4 linked regions of the Arabidopsis thaliana genome follow. The protein of the gene in region 4 interacts with the protein of the main gene of each other region in a pairwise test. Each region holds a gene or a part of one and is shown on either strand. Other genes may lie near its edges.

Region 1 (4,678 bases), on a different chromosome or scaffold from region 4:
GAAAAGAAAAAAACGCATGCCATTTACTTGTTTGAGTAAGTTACTCATTATGGTATATGCTCTTCAAGAAAACAAATCAAATACTACTTTTTCGTCACGTATCTTTCTTTTTCAGCTCACCAAAATATAACTTTCAAGGAATCATATCAAAACTTTACTATTTACATGGATTTTGTGCATTTGCATAATTTACGTATACAAATCCCAAAGGTTAGCGTTTTTGCCAACTATATATATAGATACTAGCTAGATGATTATCCAGATTTACTTCTTCTTTTTTAATAATATATATATCGTATATCCATTAAATGTGTAAACCTTTACTTCTAACAGATTTAGAGATCTATAAAACGTATACACTAAGAATTATTTAGAAAAACTAGAAGTTTGAAATAAGTTATTGTCTCTCTAATACACCAATATTGCTTCTTATGTTCATTACAATTTTACAAATGTATGCTTACCAGATTACAAAAGCATGTTGAAAATTCGAAGTTATGATACCAATTTATTAGTAGCGAATGTAAAAAAGACTAAACATAAATTGGACGTAGTCCACCAAGATATATAATGTTATAATTAGCGGGGTAAAATATTGATTTAATACTGGAGGCGTAATAACATCTTGTTTCAGAATTCCAACAACGTACGAGTAAGAAAAACAAAAATACAGTTCTCAACAGACTAATTGGACGTAAAACTCTAGGCCAGCCAAACTGACAAAGCATATGACAAAAATATAAATGATAGAATTGGCAATTTCAGAATTTTCCATCGATCATGCTAAAATGAACATTAGTTGGAACCCAAAAACATTTTTGTTTATCTTGCACATACAAACAGAGCTATAGGTTACGTTATGACTTATGATGTTCTGATTTATTGATCAAATCACACATCAGTTTTTTCCCAACAGATATCAATTTCATTATGTAATGATACATATAGTCTGATAGTATTATTCGTCTGTTGAGAACAACGGCTTTTTGTTGGATACAAGTTTTTTTGTTTCGTCAAAACAAGTTTAATTTTGGACTTCATCACTTCAATAAGAAAAAGAAACCAACTGAAAATAAATGCACCGTATAAATTTAGTTCACCAAATTATATAAATGTGGAAAAGAATCTTTAAAGGTTACGCCACTATTGAACATAGATCAGGAAAATGCCGAAAGTGAAGAAGATGGCGACTTTTAACTTACAATATTAGCAATATTTTTGGTCATATCGTATTAAAATTGATGACCTACCATTTAAAAATGGTGGATATAACTTCTTCTAGCATATGTTACTATAATGAATGATCAATTCTGAATTCTCATACATATGACTTCACAACGGAAACTTTTTGCTTTAGAGTTTCATAAATAGTTTACGACATACAATTTTTCATGCATTCCACTCACGAGAACAACTTTATACGTAACATGCAATTGCAAAACTACAATAATCGGGTTTACATGTAACATAGCATCTAATAAAAATCTTCACTTCCTTTATTAAAAAATAATAAAAATTGAAAACAAGAAGACCAAGTTCAAGTTCAACGAAGGTCGTCACAAATTATTTGAAGACCGTGTGCGAAACCATTTTTTAAACTCATTGTAACCTTTTAATTATTATTTTAACTTACGTATGTATTGGTTAAAACTTAAAACACTTGCCTGATTACACTACTTTTTTTTTTTGTTGGAAATCTTTTCAATTTATTTTGCTCGATATACTTCTCAGGTTGTATACGTCTAAATCTTGAGGAAAATTCATATCTTGCAGAAATATAATTCTCGTACCAGAATACGTGGGCACCCACAAACACTGTGGAACAACAGTAGAAGTTTTTGATCGTCATTGTTCCACTATGGATGCAAGTGGTGGACATATATAGTTATGTGTATATATATACTAGTAAATGCACACAATCGATATAACAAGTTATTCTAAAATTTAACCCAAAAAAAAAAAAAGAGAAGAAAAAGACTCAACATGGTTCATGCTGATGGTCATAATTTTCCCGGTTCGGATCCAAACCCTCATATGAACAAGTTCGCTTTCGGGTGTGCCATTGTTGCTTCCATCATTTCTATCATCTTTGGATATGGTAACATACTAACATTCTCTACATATCAAACAAAAGTTTTCTACATATATCATATAAAGATATATTCAATGGAATTATATTAATGATTTTATATTAACGAATATTTTTTTTTTTGTAATGGTGTGTTGTCCTTAGATACGGGAGTTATGAGCGGAGCTCAGATATTTATAAGAGATGATCTAAAAATAAACGACACTCAGATTGAAGTTTTGGCCGGAATCTTGAATCTTTGTGCACTCGTCGGATCACTAACGGCGGGGAAAACGTCTGACGTCATCGGCCGACGTTACACCATAGCTCTCTCCGCCGTGATATTCTTAGTGGGCTCAGTTCTTATGGGTTACGGCCCAAACTATCCTGTTTTGATGGTCGGACGATGTATTGCCGGAGTTGGTGTAGGGTTTGCTCTCATGATAGCTCCGGTTTACTCTGCCGAGATATCCTCTGCGTCACATAGAGGCTTTCTCACTTCTCTACCTGAGCTTTGTATTAGTCTTGGGATTTTACTAGGCTATGTCTCGAATTACTGTTTTGGGAAACTGACGTTGAAACTTGGATGGAGATTGATGCTTGGAATCGCAGCGTTCCCGTCTTTGATATTGGCTTTTGGGATTACAAGAATGCCCGAGTCGCCGAGGTGGCTTGTGATGCAAGGTAGGTTAGAAGAAGCCAAGAAAATAATGGTTTTGGTATCCAATACGGAAGAAGAAGCTGAAGAACGGTTCAGAGACATCTTAACCGCTGCGGAAGTAGATGTGACAGAGATAAAAGAAGTTGGTGGCGGCGTTAAGAAGAAGAATCACGGTAAAAGTGTTTGGAGGGAGTTGGTGATAAAACCGCGACCTGCGGTGCGTTTGATCTTGATAGCGGCCGTTGGGATACACTTTTTCGAGCATGCGACGGGGATTGAGGCCGTCGTGTTGTACAGCCCGAGAATTTTCAAGAAAGCCGGAGTTGTTTCGAAAGACAAGCTCTTACTAGCCACGGTCGGTGTAGGTTTAACTAAGGCCTTTTTCATAATAATAGCCACTTTCTTGCTCGACAAGGTAGGTCGTAGAAAGCTCCTGTTGACCAGTACGGGTGGGATGGTCTTCGCATTGACCAGTTTAGCGGTTAGTCTCACGATGGTTCAGCGATTTGGGCGGTTAGCGTGGGCATTGAGTTTAAGCATCGTCTCTACGTATGCATTTGTAGCTTTTTTCTCCATAGGGCTTGGACCTATCACATGGGTGTACAGCTCCGAGATATTCCCGTTGAGACTTAGGGCTCAGGGAGCGAGTATAGGTGTTGCGGTTAATAGGATCATGAACGCGACGGTCTCAATGAGTTTTCTGTCGATGACGAAGGCGATCACGACAGGGGGCGTGTTCTTCGTATTCGCCGGAATAGCGGTGGCGGCATGGTGGTTCTTCTTCTTTATGTTGCCGGAGACGAAAGGATTGCCATTGGAGGAGATGGAGAAGCTTTTTGGTGGTGGGGGTCCTCGTGGTGATCGTGACGGACTTGAGATTCAAACTAAAACCATCTCTATTGGGGGTTTCTCATAAGAGTTTCTCACAATTAAAAAAATAAAAATAATAAAAATGAAGGAGAGAGAGTGTAGAAAGATTCTCAGAAACTTTGAGATACTCTCTACAACCCATCATGACAATTCGCTTCTCACTATTGGTTCAACTTTTTAACAAAAATATTTTTTTAATCAAAAATTCAAATTATAATATAATATTAATTTTTTTTTGTTTGAGAAACTTTGTGGGTTTCTCATGGATGGAGATGCCCTTAGAGAGTCAATAATTAGGTTAGATTATCATGGCTATGTAGAATAATTTTTAAATCCAACATGATTTGGCATATCTATTATAAGGTGTGATTTTTTGTAAAGGACAAAGTATGATTTTTATATTCATCCCTTTTTACTGTAGCTAATGAGAATCTACAACCTAATAAAAAACAATAACAATTATTTAATTATAAAATCTAATAGTTCACCAAAACAAAATCATATATCGGTTTGGATTTATAAGAGAGGGTTAAAGTTTAAATTTTATGATTAAACGAAGTTAAATACCAGTTTAGGTTTATAAACGATTTTAGATTTTAGAATCAAACGAGGTTAAATGTCGGTTTAGAGTTATAAACGGGTTTGGATTTTACAATTAGATGAGGTTAAATGTCGGTTTGAGTTTTAGAAAGAACGATTTAAGTTTAGATTTTACAATTAATCGAGTTTAAATGTCGGTTTGGATTTACAAAATAGAATTAGAGTTTAAATTTTGTAATTAAACAAAATTATATATCGGTTTGAGTTTATGAAATAGTGGTTAAGATTATAGATTTTATAATTAAATGAGTTTATTTATTTATTAGGTGACATATTCTAATTGGCTGAAAGAGGTGAATGAAAAGGTGAACCAAGAATTGTTCGATTTTTAACTACACATCTAATTCTAGACTCTAGAGTATGCATATTAATGTTTCCAGAGATCAGAAAGTGCTTAAACAAAACATATTGATCACTTCATGGTTTTTAAGTCTTAGTTTAATTGATGGAAAGGAGAGGATTACCAATACTGAAGTAGA
Region 2 (5,322 bases), on a different chromosome or scaffold from region 4:
CTAGTTGTTCCGGCAATAAATGAAATATTTTTATGAGTTTAAATGCTTTTTTAAAAACTGATTTTCATTTTTTTTGGATTTTGACCCCCAAAAAGGTTTCATTTTCGATAGTACCTAATAATAATATGAAGTTGTTAGTCAAATGTAACCATCTCGCAAACTCAACCCAAATGTCAGTTTTCGGGTAGACATGGTACTATGATAGTGAGTTTGTTCCAACTTAATTATTACGAGCTATATCGATATATCGCTTATGTTGTTGTTGTTGTCTACCTTGTTCCTTAATTACGTCATATGAAAACTAGTTCAAATCATGAACTAACAAGAGCAGTGTATTAAGTACTAGTTTCATTTAAATGATCTTTTAGAGTTTTCTATGACTATTGCATCTTTAAGTTTTTTTTCTAATATATGTTTACTTCTCTGATTGTTTTTATTCAATGATGATATCGCGATGAATTACTATTTCATCTTTATTTTTGTTTTGTTTGTGATACATCTATCAAAATTTGTAACCAATTTTGGTTTTATTTAAAAATGATCTAACTAAACGAATAATCATATGTGATTGATCAGTTATTTGACTTTACCAAGCACCAACCATTGAATCAATTGGTGTAAAAAGTCTGCCTAATTATGTACTAACAACACTGACACAGAGCCTGCCATTGCCTTTTGCTTCTTTTATAAAGATACGCCTTTCATTTCCCTTTTTGTGATGTGATGCTAATTTGCCCATGATGGATTCAGATCGGGATCACTCACATTCAGAAGAAAAAAAGTTAATTTAGATCAATATTTGATTGCTTCAAAGATAATCTAATGTATTCTAAAATAAAACTCTCATAATCTTACCCACATAAATTTATTTTACTATAGAGTATAGATGCACGAGGTTGTATGATTTTAAATCATGTATTTCCATATCATTTCATTTGGACTGATCGCAGAATTTATAGTCAATTTTCATCAAAAACTCAGTGCACTTCAAATGACGATGAAATTAAATCTCAGTAAAAGAGAATAACGAGATCATTAAACACAAAACACACATGAAACTTTCTTGAGCTATAGAAGAACACTAAATAATAATAGGGTTGGCCTAAGATAGCCATCACACCTTAACTAAGGAACAAAAAAAACCCAATTTACCAAAAATAACTCAACATAACAAATTAAACAAACCCGAGGTAAAAGATTATTGTCGTCAAACAATTACAAAGAGATGTGATTTTTAATAAATACTAAAAAAAAATTGGATGTAGTAACTTATATATATTAGATCTCGAAATCAAAACCCCCTTATATGAAACTCTCTTTCTAGAAGGTCTTGAATGGCAAATTTGTATATCATGGCTTGTGAGGAGGGCATTGGTAGCATTTGGTAAAGAGACCAAAAGTGTCGATCTGGCGAACAAAGTTGACCATACTTGCCCATCCTCCAAACCCGAACCCAACTACGAATACCCAAACCACCACAAATATGTTTATGCAGTAAGTCCCCATCCATCCTCCTACCACTCTCGGTGGCCTCTCCACCGCATTCTATTTACGATATATCAAACTTAACAAAAATTAGATATACCAAAATATTATTTTAGCTATTTTTACATAATCTATGATACTATATAATAATTTTAATATAAACTAATAATATACTATTTCCAATTATTCTTTGTAAACTTATACTAAAATTGTAACAAGCTTTTTATGAAACAATTATAATTTTAAAATAGATATTTTGGAAGTTGGAAATCTAACCTCTCTTGAAGGAGCAGGAGCAAAGGTAAGCATATGAGCCAATGCGGGGATGATGTAGACAGTGAAGCTAACTAAGAGAGATCCGACCGCGGAATTGATTGGTCCGAAAAAGGGGAAGATAATGGCTAAGAACCATATGGGTACAACCACGGGTAATCTAGCCATGGCTCTTTTGAACATGCTCTTCGTCTCATGCACACCTATCAATTTCTCCCACACAAAATATAACGGTGTAGACGCGAATCCGAACGTTATAAATTGATGAATGAGCATGAGGATCACTGCGGTATCTCTAAAACCAGTCTTAGGGAGAAGAGAGAGCGCATTGGAATGAGTTAGTAGCTTATCGCCAAACGCCCAATAAACCGCAGACGCGGATGGTAGCGTTAGCGTTAGTACATATATGGTCGCTAGTAGATATATCGCCTTGAACTTTTGCGGTTTCCACATAGCGTGCATTATCTCCCTATTATATTTTTTCAAATTTCCAATACATAATTAGTTAAGCCATTAATTAAGCCATTTTATTTTTCCAAACAAAAAAAAAATACTTACACTGTGACGGCGTGGCCACCAAAGGTGTAGAGAATGTTGGTGGCTCCGGTGAAGTAAAGCACCATTGTGGTTGGACCAGAGTGTTTCACATCCTCAGCCTTTTTTATATGAAAAATAAATATATTAAACAACAATAACCAGGACTATATGTCTATATCTTATAATAATCAAAACAAGATTTGTGTTAATTATAATGACCTGGCCATGAAGGAGTGAAGCAATGGTGAGATACCAAGAAGTGTAAGTGGTCATAGCGAGTCCGAGGAATGACCAAATTCTATAATTGTGGAAGGAAGGAATAAAAACAGTTGTTGCACAGCACGCCCCAAATATGTATGTCCATGTCCTCTTGTCCAATTTGTCATTAATATAATATATATTGCTGCAAATCATTTTTTATATTAATTAATTTTCAATATGAAAAAACCATATAATAAAGAAAATGAACATTGATTATTAATTTACCTAGCACAAGCAATGAGCTGAATAACAGATCCAAAGAGAAGAAAAGTGCAGTTAAAGATCAATCCAAGGTTCCTCCAATGTTTCCCCAACAATCCATCTAACACCTCAAACCACTTTTTTACACAAACAAAAAAAAACAAAAAGTTAAAATTCAATAATACCACCAAAAAAATAAAAAATTATAACGAGTCACAAGAATTAGAGGTGGAATAAAACCTGAATAACGTGGTTACGGAAATCGAATTTTTCTCGTTCTTTACGAGTTCGATATTCAACGTAAAGAACACTAATGAGATAAGCAGTCCAACTTCCCATTAATCCATAAAAGAGTTGAAACAAAATTCCCGACATCATCCCAAGTTGTGAGAACGAGTATGGTAATGTCAACAGAACTTGTGCCACCTGCCATTTTTATAACAATTTAGCTATAGAAGACGATACATACACATCTATATATAAGACTAAATCTGTGGGAAGTACATACCTGATTTGAAGCACAACTAAACCAAGCATCGTAGACAGAACCACCATGCCAGAAGAAATTAGAGAGTTTTGTTTTAGTTGAAGATTTCTTGTTACCACTTATGTTTTCTTCTTCCCTCTCCATTTCTAAGTAATTCCCTGCGACCACTGTCTCTATTTTCTCTGCCGCCATTTTTCTCTTCTTCTCTCAGTTTCTTTAGCTTCTTTACTTCCACTCTTTAAATAGACTAGTGAAAAGCTTTTTCATTTATTTATTTGTTTTATGGGTTTTGTTTCCTTTCTTTTGCTCTGTGTGCAATTATTGAGTAACGAGTGTCGGGGGACGAAGTCTTTAGTCACAGCTCACGAGTTGTCATGGGGATATCGGTTTATGATTGGTTGGTGACTGAGTTATGTCACCTACTTGTGACTGTTACTGTTTTCGGCGAGCGTGGCGTTGTTTTTTTAATGGGCTTGATTTGATTGTTGGGCTTATGGGCCATATTTCTGGAGCATTACACGAACGGGTAGGCCCGGTTTGAGATTGTTAATTATATATTGACCCCGATAATATGCAAAAAAAGAGGGTTAGCTAATTATAGATTTTAAAGTTTAAAGTAGTGAGAGTAGACTAATTGTAAATTGAAAATAGAAGTGATGACAATGATGTTTTTTTTTTTTGAAAGAAAGGCTAAACTATTATTATCATTAACAATTATTTGAATCATGATGATTGTAACAACTAGAAACAATGAATAAAACATATTGGTCCTTTCCTCCTTCTTGTGATGAGGATGATAACGATCTTTATGTAGAATAATCAATTATATTTCTAAGTTTTTATGTTTTGTCCGATTATATTACATAGCTGTTACCTGGAACTCGAAATTACATAAATTTATGCCTTTGTCTACCATATGGCATCGCACATCCAAACGCTTGATTTAGAAGTAGAAAAACTTGGTTAAAAGAGAGGAAGAAATAGTGATTTGTGAGGTAATCGAGGATTGGAGATGGATCCAATGGAAAGAATGATTGCTAATCAGGTGGGATTAGTGGTAAACATAATTACCACACGTGTCTAGCTGTCTAAGCTTTATTTAACTCACTAATTTCTTAGAAATGTCTCCTTTTTAGCCCCATACTTTTACAATGGATCGAATTATTAATGAGAAGGTATCATCATTTTAGATCTTTATAGCTTTTTAACCCGGCCAAAATGGATGGCAGCGGAAAGAAGACTCATCGCCAATTGACATTAAAATATGCATTTTCAAATGTTTTTTTTTTTTTTTTTTTTTTTGTGATTCAACCTTATTTAGGCTATTGAGATATCTCCAAAAGATATAATATTGTCGTCCCTAAATAGAGCAGATATTCAGATATCATTGGTAATAATACTGAAAAAATGGCGAGTCATTGTAGTTAAATAATTTGACATCTTGAAACCAGGAACTCGATTCTACTGGATGGTTACAGATGGTTCCCATAACGACAAAGATTGTGAGATTTGTTTTGATTTTCATCAATTTATCTTCGTCAGAAAATCTGTTTAACCAAAAAAAGGATCATGACTATACAAATTTATTAATGGTGTAATATTCAAAAAGCAGAATATAAGAATGGACCGAACAATTGAGATTGAGTTCGACATAAATGGGCCATATGATTCATTAATTAGGCCTAATATATCAGTAGGTAGATGAATTGACCCATGACATGAAGGCTAAAATAATCAATATCAACAAGATTATCCAAATTCAATAATAGAAGATACAAATAGACAGATAAAAAGCCACATACAGTATAGATCCTTGGCCATTTGGACTTTGATTACCTTAACAGCATCCCAAAGAATACTTGCATGAAACATCAGGAAACGAATAACACTAACTAACTCTTTCCCATATTCCAAAACAAGGAACCTTAATTATTTGAAAACACATATAGTACTACAACCGATTATTATAATTGTACCGATAGACTCTCCATGCAAGTTATTCTTTCTTCCTCCCTTAAAAAGCCAGTCTCACTTCAAGATCAGAAAATAACATTACATTTGATCCTAAAATATTTTCT
Region 3 (5,235 bases), on a different chromosome or scaffold from region 4:
CTACATCGTCGATCTCTGGTCTCAATGGTAGAGATCTGTGAATTCTCATGATTTCTTCCACAACCATCTCCTTCGAATCCATTTTCTACAAAATCAAAATTCACCCTCAAAGTGAGAGATGAGAAAGGAGAAGGAAGAAGAAGAAGAAGATATTCAAGTTTCCATATTTTGAATCGGATCTTGTTTTCTCTTTCTTCGTCTTCTCATTCTTTCTTCGTCACTTCCTTTCTTCTTCTTCTTCTTCTTCCTCGTCTCTTTCTCTCAAACTGCATTAAATAATTCAAAAATATTAGTCACTATCTATCTCTATCTCTCGCGTCCTTATCTGTTTAGCTTAATGATAATTTTGTTAATGTCAAGCATTGACGTAAACAATGATTAAGTATTTGATACGGATCACATATAATAAGGAGAAGAAGAAAACATGATCATGTCGTGTTAGGATTTTTCAAATCGAAATAAATCTATATTAATAATAACAATGATCATGTAGTGCGAGTTATTTAGTTTAGGACAAGTTATTAGATATCTATATTGGCTTAAACGTAGTAACACATTAAAGAAACACTTGTACGACAATAGTTTCCTGACTAAGTTAGTAAACAGCATCGTTTCATTTGAACTATGAAGTAACAACAGAAGAAACTAAAGCAGCTAAGAGTTGTGGAATTGCATCTCCTGTTGTTGAATCCTGTCAATAGCATCCTCTGCTCCAGCTTCAAGATCAGACATTTCGTCTTCTTCATCTTCTTGTTTGTAGTATATGATGTTAGAAGAGTGACCAGTGGTCTTGGAACGGTGAAGAGTGGTTGCAGAGGAAGAGGAAGAGAGGCTGAAACTCTCTGAAACACCAAGTGTCTTGCTCGGGAGCTTCCTCGCTTTACCTTTCTTCAATTTGATGTCTTTGTGCCACTTCTTCAATGCCTTTGCCATTTGCTCATCAAACACTGCTTTCTTCATGTGTGAACCCATCTGCTCCACACACCATTTCATCATCTCTCTATTTTCTTTCCTTCAATAGACCATTCGACTAAAATATCGATCGAAAACTGTTGTTTACAAGTTAATTACCTGAGTAACGAGGGCGTACAATGGGAGAGTGATGTAGCTGCATAAGATCAAAGCTCCTAGGCTGCACATACATACATACATACATCCTCACATGTTTTTAAATACTTTTCCTCTATAATATAAGTAAGTTTATGAATAAGCTTTTTACCATAGAAAGAGTTTGCTGACTACAAGATTGAAATCTTTATGGAAGCATGATTTTAATCCAAAAGAATACTGCAAATGCCAGTAATAGATGTTACTCAGTAACATCATTCTATAACACCAAAGTAAGAATAGATGTTTCTTTACCCATATCCAGAAGAAGTGTGTTATCTGGAAAGCATTCTGCATAACACAGAGGAAATAAATTTACCGGTTAGAGAGAGAAACATTACTAGAAGAAGACAGAATCTGCGAAAACATGTTAGTTCAAGAATGAAATCAAGGAGAAGATGTTTTCATAATTACCTGAAACAAGGCAAAGTGGATAAGATGAAGAAGTAGTTGAGGACAGTCGAACCAAAAGTATCGATCTGAACCTTGCACTAAAGGCATCCCCTGAACTACTGCATGTGTCTCTACGATTTCTAGCGCCATTGTTGCCATAATTGCTTGAAGCTTTGTTCCAACAGCTAGGATTATCTGCAAAAATACTTATTGTTCATCAAGAAACTTTCAAGAAGATGTATTAGAGGGAGAGATTGTCTTACGAGTAGAGGAGGTATCGATGCCCAAAACAATGTTCTCCAGCCTAGAATTGAATAGAAAGACTTCAGTATGTGAATTGAATTTAAATTTAAAGATATAAATTTAGCTCACCATTAACATTGAACAGCAAGAAGATTACAAATGATGCCCAAAGAACTGGACTGCAGAGCAAAACAATTTGTTAAAACTGTTATATACGACCGGATTATGTAAGACCGGTTTCATTTGCATTTGATGATTTGATTGTGTTGTAACCTTATTCCAACTACCAACTTGAAATCATCCTCGAGAGATCTTTTGATATATCTCTGGAAGTTGAACTTTCTTCCTGGAGCTAAATGGGCCTGAATCAAAACATCACGAAAATCACATATCAAGATTGAGATAGAAGGAAATGGAGAGATGGAAGATTTAGAAAAAAAAACTCACAGAGATGAATCCATGGCGCAGAGTCAAGTAGTCGGTTCTTTCAACAGATACAAAGAACTGCCTAAAGAAGCATCCCTGTAACCAAAGAGCATATAATAAATCGAATGAAGATCATTTTGATCATTTGAAAGAGATGAAGAATGAGAGAAATGGTTTCTTTACGACGTAAAAGAAGAAAGGAGTTGTTGTCCAGAAACTTGTATGTTCTCTCACAAAAGAAGTCTCATGAGTGAGCCTAAGTCTTGAATGATCTGCACCACAGAACAGAAGTAAGTCTGTAAAAGAACAACACTTCAGTTCAGGGGTACAAAACAGAATCTGATGAACAAAGTACCAATAGAAAACTCATAGTCATTAGATAATGTCTCTTGCTCCCACTTTTTCCATCCACGAATCTGCCAAAAATCCAACAAAAAATGAAGCACTTATTCACTATATCAAACAAAGTTTTGATCAAAACTAGAATTTATGGTACCTTGAGCCTGCTAAGCATCATGGTGATTAAACTATATACGATATGAAAGATGGCCAAGAAGAACAACAAGATGTGAAGTTGGTGCAAGCCTTTCAATGTTATGAGTGGCTCAGATCCTTGTTTGCAATTAATAGATGTATCACCAGCAGCCAAAAGATGCCTGCTAAGAGATGATGGAGCAAGTTTCTGGAAAAGCACTGTGTCTTCAGATAAACAAGGTAACATAGAGAGAGCAGCTTTTCGAGGAACACAGATCTTGAGAATATATGGTTCTCCAAAAGTGAGTAATAAAGAAATGAATCCAAGGATCATCAGCTCTGTAGAATCAGTCACCATTTAAAAACCAAAACCAAAAAGATTTAAGAAAACCAAGGCTATATGCTCACTTACCAGCTTTGATTTTCTCTAAGGCTTCAAGGAGAGAGTTTTTATGCTTCTTCCATAGCCACTGAGAAGAAACAAATTCATATGTTTCAGACAATGAATGTTTGAACAAGAACACTCGTAAGAAAAGAAGAAGAAGAAGAAGAAAGCAGACGTTGGCGAGTCTTTGAAGACCCTTTTCAAGGAGATGGGAAATGAGGATGAGAAAGGTGCAGACGACGGCGACTGCCCAAGTAGGCGTCTGAGAAAGCTCTTTCCCACCAGAGGGAGCTCCGGTGGCTGTAGCTCCGCCATGGAACACTAGAAACCATAACAAAGATCTTCGACACCTGCTTCTTGTGATCATGAGTGAAGGAAATGAGAGGTGAGAAACATAGAAGATACTAACGTAGAGAATCAAACTTATGTTAGTGCTTCTTTAATTACTACGTGTATAACATAAGTTATAGTATTAGATAAAGAATTGGTTTTCGTTTGACTTATGAGATTAAAAGTATCATTTAAAACCACTGGTGTAGTACTTTGAGTGTTGACAAAATGAAAAGAACAGTGTAGTTTAGTTTTGTAACTCATCTCATTTAATCAATGAAAGTTACATTAGCAAAACCTAATTACACATATTAAGAACATTTGACTTGTACATATTTGCAAAAACACAAACTAGTGAAACTGCTAATCGTTCATGTTTTTGATTATTTGGACATTGTTGAAATATTGATAGTGGTGAAGAAGTAACCAATCTACATATATATTTTTGCAACCATTTTAGCAAATAAATTTTCTACTTGACACTTATTTATAATGGCATGCCATTGGCATTATTTTTTTTTCCCTTAATTATTTGATTTAATTTTTAATTCTTGATTTAATATATCAATCACATTATTCATTCAAATTTAATCCAAACAACAAACTTTAAATCAAATCCCTTAAAATTAGCTACACATGATTATTTAAATGATTATTAATATTATACTTTATTAAAAGGTAAATATTGTAATTATTTAAAGTTTATAAAACGTTTATAATATTTATAAAATACAAAACTATATGTTACATATAGAGAAATATTTTAAATGTGAAATCTATAAAAATCAAATAACTATTTGAAAGACACATTTTAAATTTATTTGAATTATAAATCTTTTAATAAAAATATTATTTAAACAAAAAATTAAAAAATAATGTTTAATTTCACCGAACAGGATTAGATGGTATGACAGGTTTAAAATATTAAAATATATGAACTTTATAAATTATAACAATTAAATAACCATTTAAAATAAAAAGTTTGAAATTGATTTGAATTATATATATTTAAAATTAAAGTATTATTAAAACAAAAATAATAAAATAATATTTAATTTTATTGAACGGGGTTAGATGGTAGGACGGGTTTGAGTTGATAGTAATATGAGACAGTATACCTAGGATGAAATCCATTAAATATGTTTAATTTCATTGAACGGAATAAGATGGTCAGACGGGTTTGAGTTTATAGTAATACGACACGTTATACAACGGGTGAAATCGTATAACTAACAATTAAAATACAATGATATAATTTAAAATATATGACAAAAGAAACAATCTTAACAAAAATCATATATAATTTTAAATTTTAAATTTTAAAAATCGACTTACGGTGTATTCCATGATAAAATCAAGGGATTGTACAATATATAGAAATTAGGATTATATATTTATAAAATACAAAACAATATGTTACATATAGATAATTTATAAAATAATATATTTTTAGTTACTTTTAATAAAATAAATAGTTCCGCGGTGTACCGCGGGTTAAAATCTAGTGTTTCGTATATTTCTTGAGCTCTAGAAACTCCAATCCATATATGCCACTTTTAATTGTGATTACATAATCAAATAAAAAGAGAATTAAAGTATGAAAAAGTCCTCTCACCTGAGGAACAAATCTTAAAAGATGAATTTGGTGGAAGCTGTGACAACTAAAGAGTTTACAACTTGGCACAAAATCCAACTGCAAACAAATGCAAATAACAAAATTCTATTCAGATTTGTCTGTATGAGATCAATCTGATCCTTTATTGGTTATAAAAATGGCAAAGCAAATAAGGTGGAGAGAGAGTGATTTTATCATGGATCCTTCTCCTACAGCTTCTTCAATCACTCTTACCCTCCTGAGATCCAATCTCTTGTAAGTA
Region 4 (5,184 bases):
TTAGGTTAAACAATTGATGGAGGGAGAGATGGGGAAGACAACGATGAAGAATGTAAAAGAGTATGCGAAAATGGCGAAAAAAGCTATGGCTCAAGGGACTGGTTCGTCTTGGAAGAGTTTGGATTCGCTTCTGGAAGAGCTTTGTAAGAGTAGAGAGCCAGACGGTGTTAATAAGTTGTCAAGTTCTGATGCTTAGAGAGATTAAGGATTGGATAACAAAACGGCTTCGTACCTAATTTTAGTCATTAAATATGTTAGGTTTGTTGAAAAGTTGGTCCATTCTTCTCAATTGGATATGAATGACTAATTTGGAGTTCTAATTCTTGGTTTTGGTCTTATAGTTTCAAAAAATTTCAATTGCATTCAGTGGTTGCTTTATGAGATTTTTGCTATCTTTGAGGTTAATATTGGCTGGTCAATCCGAAGAAGCTATCAACACCTTAGTGTTCTTCTGAAAGACTTAAAAATGAGTTTGTATGCAAAAGTAGTATCTACTATGAGAAGAAATCAGACTATATAACATTGAGACAGTTTAAGAACAATGTATTTTTACTCTACACTCGTTTTCTATATCTAACATCCTCAAACCGAAACGAAAAGAAAAGAAAAATTACAAGTTGAAATAATTAAGGGAGTTTCCTAACTATTTACCATCTAAAACCAAACAGTTCACACAAAAGTTTTTTGCCCATAATGACTACACTTTAAACGTCTTCTTTATCTATAGAGAAATCAGGCTCATCTGGTTTGAATAGTTGAGGCATCTTCAAACTGGTGGAAGATCCATCTTTCTTACCAGTACTACTACTTGAAGCCTTTTGATTTGTTCCTCTTCTCGTGTTCGCCGCAAATTTAGATGCTAAGATCGTTGCTCCCAGATTTGTGTTGTCCATTGATCCGCCTTCCTCGTCACTTCCATAGTAATACTCTCTAGTTTCTTCGTCTTCTTCATTGTAACCTGTTTCATCCGGGTAATAGTATCCGCTACTCTCGTGAAGGCTGAGCTCTTTCGCAAGCTTTCTTCGCTTGTATCTTCTCCATGCAGATTGGACAAAACATGCTCCCCATGCTCTCCATTGATGTGAGTAGTACCTGAAAGCGTGTTGAAGCTTTTTGCTTTGAAGACGTTTGAACTGATGAGCAACAAACTTAAGATCCTCTGCGCTTAATGCAAAGGCTTCTACTTCAGAGAGGGCACGGACGCTTCGTGTTGAAGACGGAAGATTGAGTGTAGAGTTTGGCATTAAGGCCCATGTAAGAAGTTCTTCCCCACAGAAATCGCCAGGTCGTAGAGTAGTGGAGTTGAAGAAACCAGATCTTCCTCCATTTGTTGTTGAGCTCTCTATTTGTCCTCGGATCACAAATAGCATCTCATTCACCGGATCACCTTCACGGAATATGTATGTCCCGGCCGTGCTTAAAGATGAGACAAGGCATCCGCATATAGCATCAAGAAGTTGATCATCCATTTGAGAGAAGAACGGGACCTGCACTTACCACAACAATGTGACTTCTGAATTGAAAAACAATCAAATCCATAACAGTTTTTGATGACTGAGTTGATGTATGTACCCGGCGAACAAGGGAGAGACAAAGATGACGTTGGATTTCACGGCGTAAATCTGTAGGTAATGAATGGAGGATTGATTCTTCATCGACACCTCTGGTTGCAAGCCATTTGTATTGGACAAATCTTCGGACACGTTCTTGAAGCTCTGGAGGTAGTTGACGATGTCTCATCCATTCTTCAGTGTCTCTTCTCTTAACTCTCCATTCCTCAACTCTTACTGACATCGATTGCAGAGAAGACTTTCCACCAAATTAAAAATCATGAAGTCTATTGTTAGAAAGACAAAAAAATGTCTCTGTATTGAAAAGTTTTGCAGAGTGATGCATAAGCTCTGAATCTTACTTGCATGTTACCAATCAGGAGTGTGAAGAGAATCAACCCAAAAATACAAATTGTTATACAGAACAAGGTCTCGCCAAGGTATACACTTGTGGTTATATTCTGTCCATAAGAACTGTGAAACAAAACCTTTATTAAAACCAAAGGAGGACAATTTAAGCAGATACTGGTTAGATAAAAGGTTGTCATACCTTAGATTTCTTAAACCCCACCAAAGACAATACAAGTACTTGGACACAAAATCTGTTGTAGCAACTTGAGTGGTAAAGGCTTCAGCAAACATTCCGAATTTGAAATTGGTAGTGCTGCTTGTAGCATCACAATGAGAAAGGACCTGAGTAACGTTCTGCCAATACTGGCGCTCTGGTTGTTCTAAACTCTTGCAATCCAAGAAGCTAGGAAGACAATCCAAAACTCTCAAAGCGTTGTCTTTCTTGCATACGTTGGACCAGCACGAAAACTGCCGCCCGATTGATGACAGATACCACATTGCTCCTAACACCTGCCCACAAATAGAGATTCTTAGCAACTTAAAACTGAAGAAACCTAAAGATTTGAAAAAACACACAAGATAAAGAAAACTTACGTGACTAGCAAGGATGTACAATAGGAGGTTGTATGCAGCTCCTGCCCAAGCAGTCTTGGCGATAAACCCGGTTGTTTTGATAATCCTTTGGTTGAGTGGGAATATGATGAATGATCTTGGAATGTATTGAACAAGAACGATAAGTGCGAGAGTGCTATTGGCATGATTAGCAGTTCCATTTGTGGCCGCTGGAATTACTAGCCAAATAACAAGCTGAGATCAAAAGATAGTCAGAAACAAAGCATGAGGCTCCCAAAATATCTCTGTTCTTTAATCTTCTAGCTACCGCCTAACGATTTTTGAACATTGATCTTAGCTAATCGTAATCCATATCATTGCTTTCACATTCAAAATAAGAGCAAAATCTTAAGAACCTGAGGAAGGGGAAGCATGGCGGCGACATCAATGAGGAAATCTGTCTTCAAGTATCTCATAGCAATCTCTCTAGAATCCATAACAAGCTCACCGCGACCAAAAACACGAGAACTCCTCGCGACGAACGCAGTTCTGAATTTCATGAAAATGTGCAAGAGGTGGAAGATATCGGCGACTGTACGGAAGAAAGTGACAGTAGCGGCGAGGCTGATGTCGATGGAGAGACACGCCGGACCACCGACGTAAGGGACGTAGAAATAGAAAGGATCGAGGAAGAGAGCGAGGATTGAGGTAATGAGAAAGACGTGGTTCCAATAGGTGACGATGTTGCTGTCCGGGTCCAGGATCTGATGCCGCCATAGGACGCTGAATTGGCTACCGTCAGATCCTCGATTTGAGGCGGCGGTGGAGGCGGAGGTTATGGTCTCCGGGAGGAGGCAGCGGAGAGACCGGATTTTATTCATCTTCCATGGCGGATTCCGGTGTTAAATCGGATTCCGCATTAACACAGAGAGAGATTGAGATTGATGGACAGAGAGGCTAGGTGGTTGCGTCGTGTGATTTTTTGTTTTTTTGGGTTTTTGCATTTTGTTTTTGATGATTATGGAAGAAGGAGAGGATTTCTCGCGGGAAAACTGAGAGAAGGGCCATGGAAATAGGGGGAAGGGTAGTTTTTGAAAATATGATGGGAGAATGAGGGTATTTACGGAATGTTATAGTTGCGGGTCTCGTTTGTTTATGCTGTTTTTGTGTTCTCAAAACAGCACACGTTTTGCATCTCAAAACTTCAATCGACACAATATCTACTGTTCTTAGTTGTTGGACCCACCGGCCCAATAGTTATAGATCGGCCCAATAGTTATTTTTTTCTACTTTTTTTCTATGAAAATCAAAGGGATATATACTATATATGCTTTAGGATTTTAAAATTACACATTATAATGTATACAATTGCTATGATCATTTCTATTGATAAACTAATAATGTTTTTAGTAGTTTTAACTTAAAGTCCGGTTTAATATTGTTTAGTTCAATTGTTCAAAGAATAAAAAAAAAAATTATAATTAATTCGTAAAACCATGATAAGATTAGTTAAAATATCTAATTCGTTATGAGGTTCATTAGAATTTATTTAAGTGAATTATTGAAGTTTTATGAGCTACATTTATTATATTTTGTCAACACATTAAACCCGTAATTCAATTATACTGTCTTTTGTAGTATTTCCGTTTTTGACATCAGTTTAACAAATTGTCTTACATAATTCATTTGTTGTTGTTATGTACTATTAAAAGTATATAGAAGCACGCGTACCAAACATTCTGTGACAATATGTGGTAGTGGGAAGATAGTGTACATGCTTGTTGACACCATCCATAAGATAGTGTACCTATAAAATAACAAAAAGGGAATAGAAATCCTTAGAAACAATTATGCGAATATAAAAGGGATAATAAGAAGTGAGAATAATAAAATGAATACTGAAATTAAAAATTACGTCACGGAAAAATGATGTTTATCCACACAAAAAGAACAACAACTTCCATCATATCATATAGAGGGACATACTAACTTTTCCACTTCCAAAAAATCACACTTATGCGTAATTGTTTTCTCTAACAATAATGACGTATTTTAGTCCTTCAAATTTTAGTACTCCATCATTTTCCGATTAGACACAAAGTAGTAATTTCAATATAAAAAATTAATAACAAGCTTTTATAAATGATTATGATAACTTATACTAACATATGTGACAATATTGTTTTCTCTATGCTTGTTAAACGTAATTAAGAAACAATGATGTTAATTACTCCAACTAATTCATGGATCTAGAAATACGATGTTGGTTAAACATTATTATCGACTAATTTATTACTTCGTTAATGGCTGCTATTAAGTATGACCACGTGTGGCAGATTTGAGATGTTTAGCGATCTTTAAATATAGAATCCGACGGGATCCAATTCTCCTCTTTTTTTTTTATTCCACTTTGCCACTGTGATTATATAATAAGTATGATTAATTAAGAGATTTACATTCTATTGATTTACTTTATTATTTTATTCATGTGGAGTAGACTATACGACAACTACTTTATCGTTACTTTTTAATTTTATTTTTTAGTGAAAATTTGCTAGTCAAGTTTAGAAAATTCAAAATAGCATTTCACTTTTATATGCACGATTGATTTCGTTGCTTATATTAAGATAAGGAAAACAAATGTTACTCTTCCTAAAAAAATTGTTCTTTGAGAATACAATTTACGTGTTCCTCTTTTCAATAAAGTCGCTGGTGTTTATGAAACACACAT

What was found.
Region 1: the proteins of CNGC18 (region 4) and AT2G18480 interact in a protein complementation assay, tested with the Arabidopsis thaliana proteins (one large-scale study listed by BioGRID).
Region 2: the proteins of CNGC18 (region 4) and LAX3 interact in a protein complementation assay, tested with the Arabidopsis thaliana proteins (one large-scale study listed by BioGRID).
Region 3: the proteins of CNGC18 (region 4) and MLO7 interact in a protein complementation assay, tested with the Arabidopsis thaliana proteins (one large-scale study listed by BioGRID).

The regions. Positions count from the first base shown.
Region 1 is NC_003071.7:8,008,549-8,013,226, reverse strand, and holds AT2G18480 (Major facilitator superfamily protein), read left to right. Parts: upstream 1-1,949; 5' UTR 1,950-1,983; coding exon 1,984-2,098; intron 2,099-2,233; coding exon 2,234-3,645; 3' UTR 3,646-4,126; downstream 4,127-4,678. UniProt on the Arabidopsis thaliana protein: Plasma membrane sugar-proton symporter.
Region 2 is NC_003070.9:29,199,882-29,205,203, forward strand, and holds LAX3 (uncharacterized protein), read right to left. Parts: upstream 3,538-5,322; 5' UTR 3,437-3,537; coding exon 3,266-3,436; intron 3,184-3,265; coding exon 2,998-3,183; intron 2,895-2,997; coding exon 2,782-2,894; intron 2,699-2,781; coding exon 2,515-2,698; intron 2,415-2,514; coding exon 2,317-2,414; intron 2,228-2,316; coding exon 1,762-2,227; intron 1,546-1,761; coding exon 1,351-1,545; 3' UTR 536-1,350; downstream 1-535. Other genes in the region: AT1G77700 (Pathogenesis-related thaumatin superfamily protein), read left to right, coding at 4,866-4,941, 5,267-5,322. UniProt on the Arabidopsis thaliana protein: Carrier protein involved in proton-driven auxin influx.
Region 3 is NC_003071.7:7,566,178-7,571,412, reverse strand, and holds MLO7 (Seven transmembrane MLO family protein), read right to left. Parts: upstream 3,396-5,235; coding exon 3,204-3,395; intron 3,114-3,203; coding exon 3,056-3,113; intron 2,983-3,055; coding exon 2,666-2,982; intron 2,586-2,665; coding exon 2,525-2,585; intron 2,442-2,524; coding exon 2,353-2,441; intron 2,266-2,352; coding exon 2,191-2,265; intron 2,106-2,190; coding exon 2,017-2,105; intron 1,923-2,016; coding exon 1,873-1,922; intron 1,805-1,872; coding exon 1,764-1,804; intron 1,696-1,763; coding exon 1,522-1,695; intron 1,399-1,521; coding exon 1,363-1,398; intron 1,288-1,362; coding exon 1,220-1,287; intron 1,133-1,219; coding exon 1,072-1,132; intron 973-1,071; coding exon 655-972; 3' UTR 501-654; downstream 1-500. Other genes in the region: PIRL5 (plant intracellular ras group-related LRR 5), read right to left, coding at 1-82; NTRA (NADPH-dependent thioredoxin reductase A), read right to left, coding at 5,194-5,235.
Region 4 is NC_003076.8:4,807,564-4,812,747, forward strand, and holds CNGC18 (cyclic nucleotide-gated channel 18), read right to left. Parts: upstream 3,531-5,184; 5' UTR 3,335-3,530; coding exon 2,870-3,334; intron 2,709-2,869; coding exon 2,496-2,708; intron 2,412-2,495; coding exon 2,101-2,411; intron 2,025-2,100; coding exon 1,913-2,024; intron 1,810-1,912; coding exon 1,573-1,809; intron 1,488-1,572; coding exon 705-1,487; 3' UTR 528-704; downstream 1-527. Other genes in the region: AT5G14860 (UDP-Glycosyltransferase superfamily protein), read left to right, coding at 5-196. UniProt on the Arabidopsis thaliana protein: Cyclic nucleotide-gated ion channel required for directional pollen tube growth into the transmitting tract. Acts as a Ca(2+)-permeable divalent cation-selective channel inhibited by either lanthanum or gadolinium.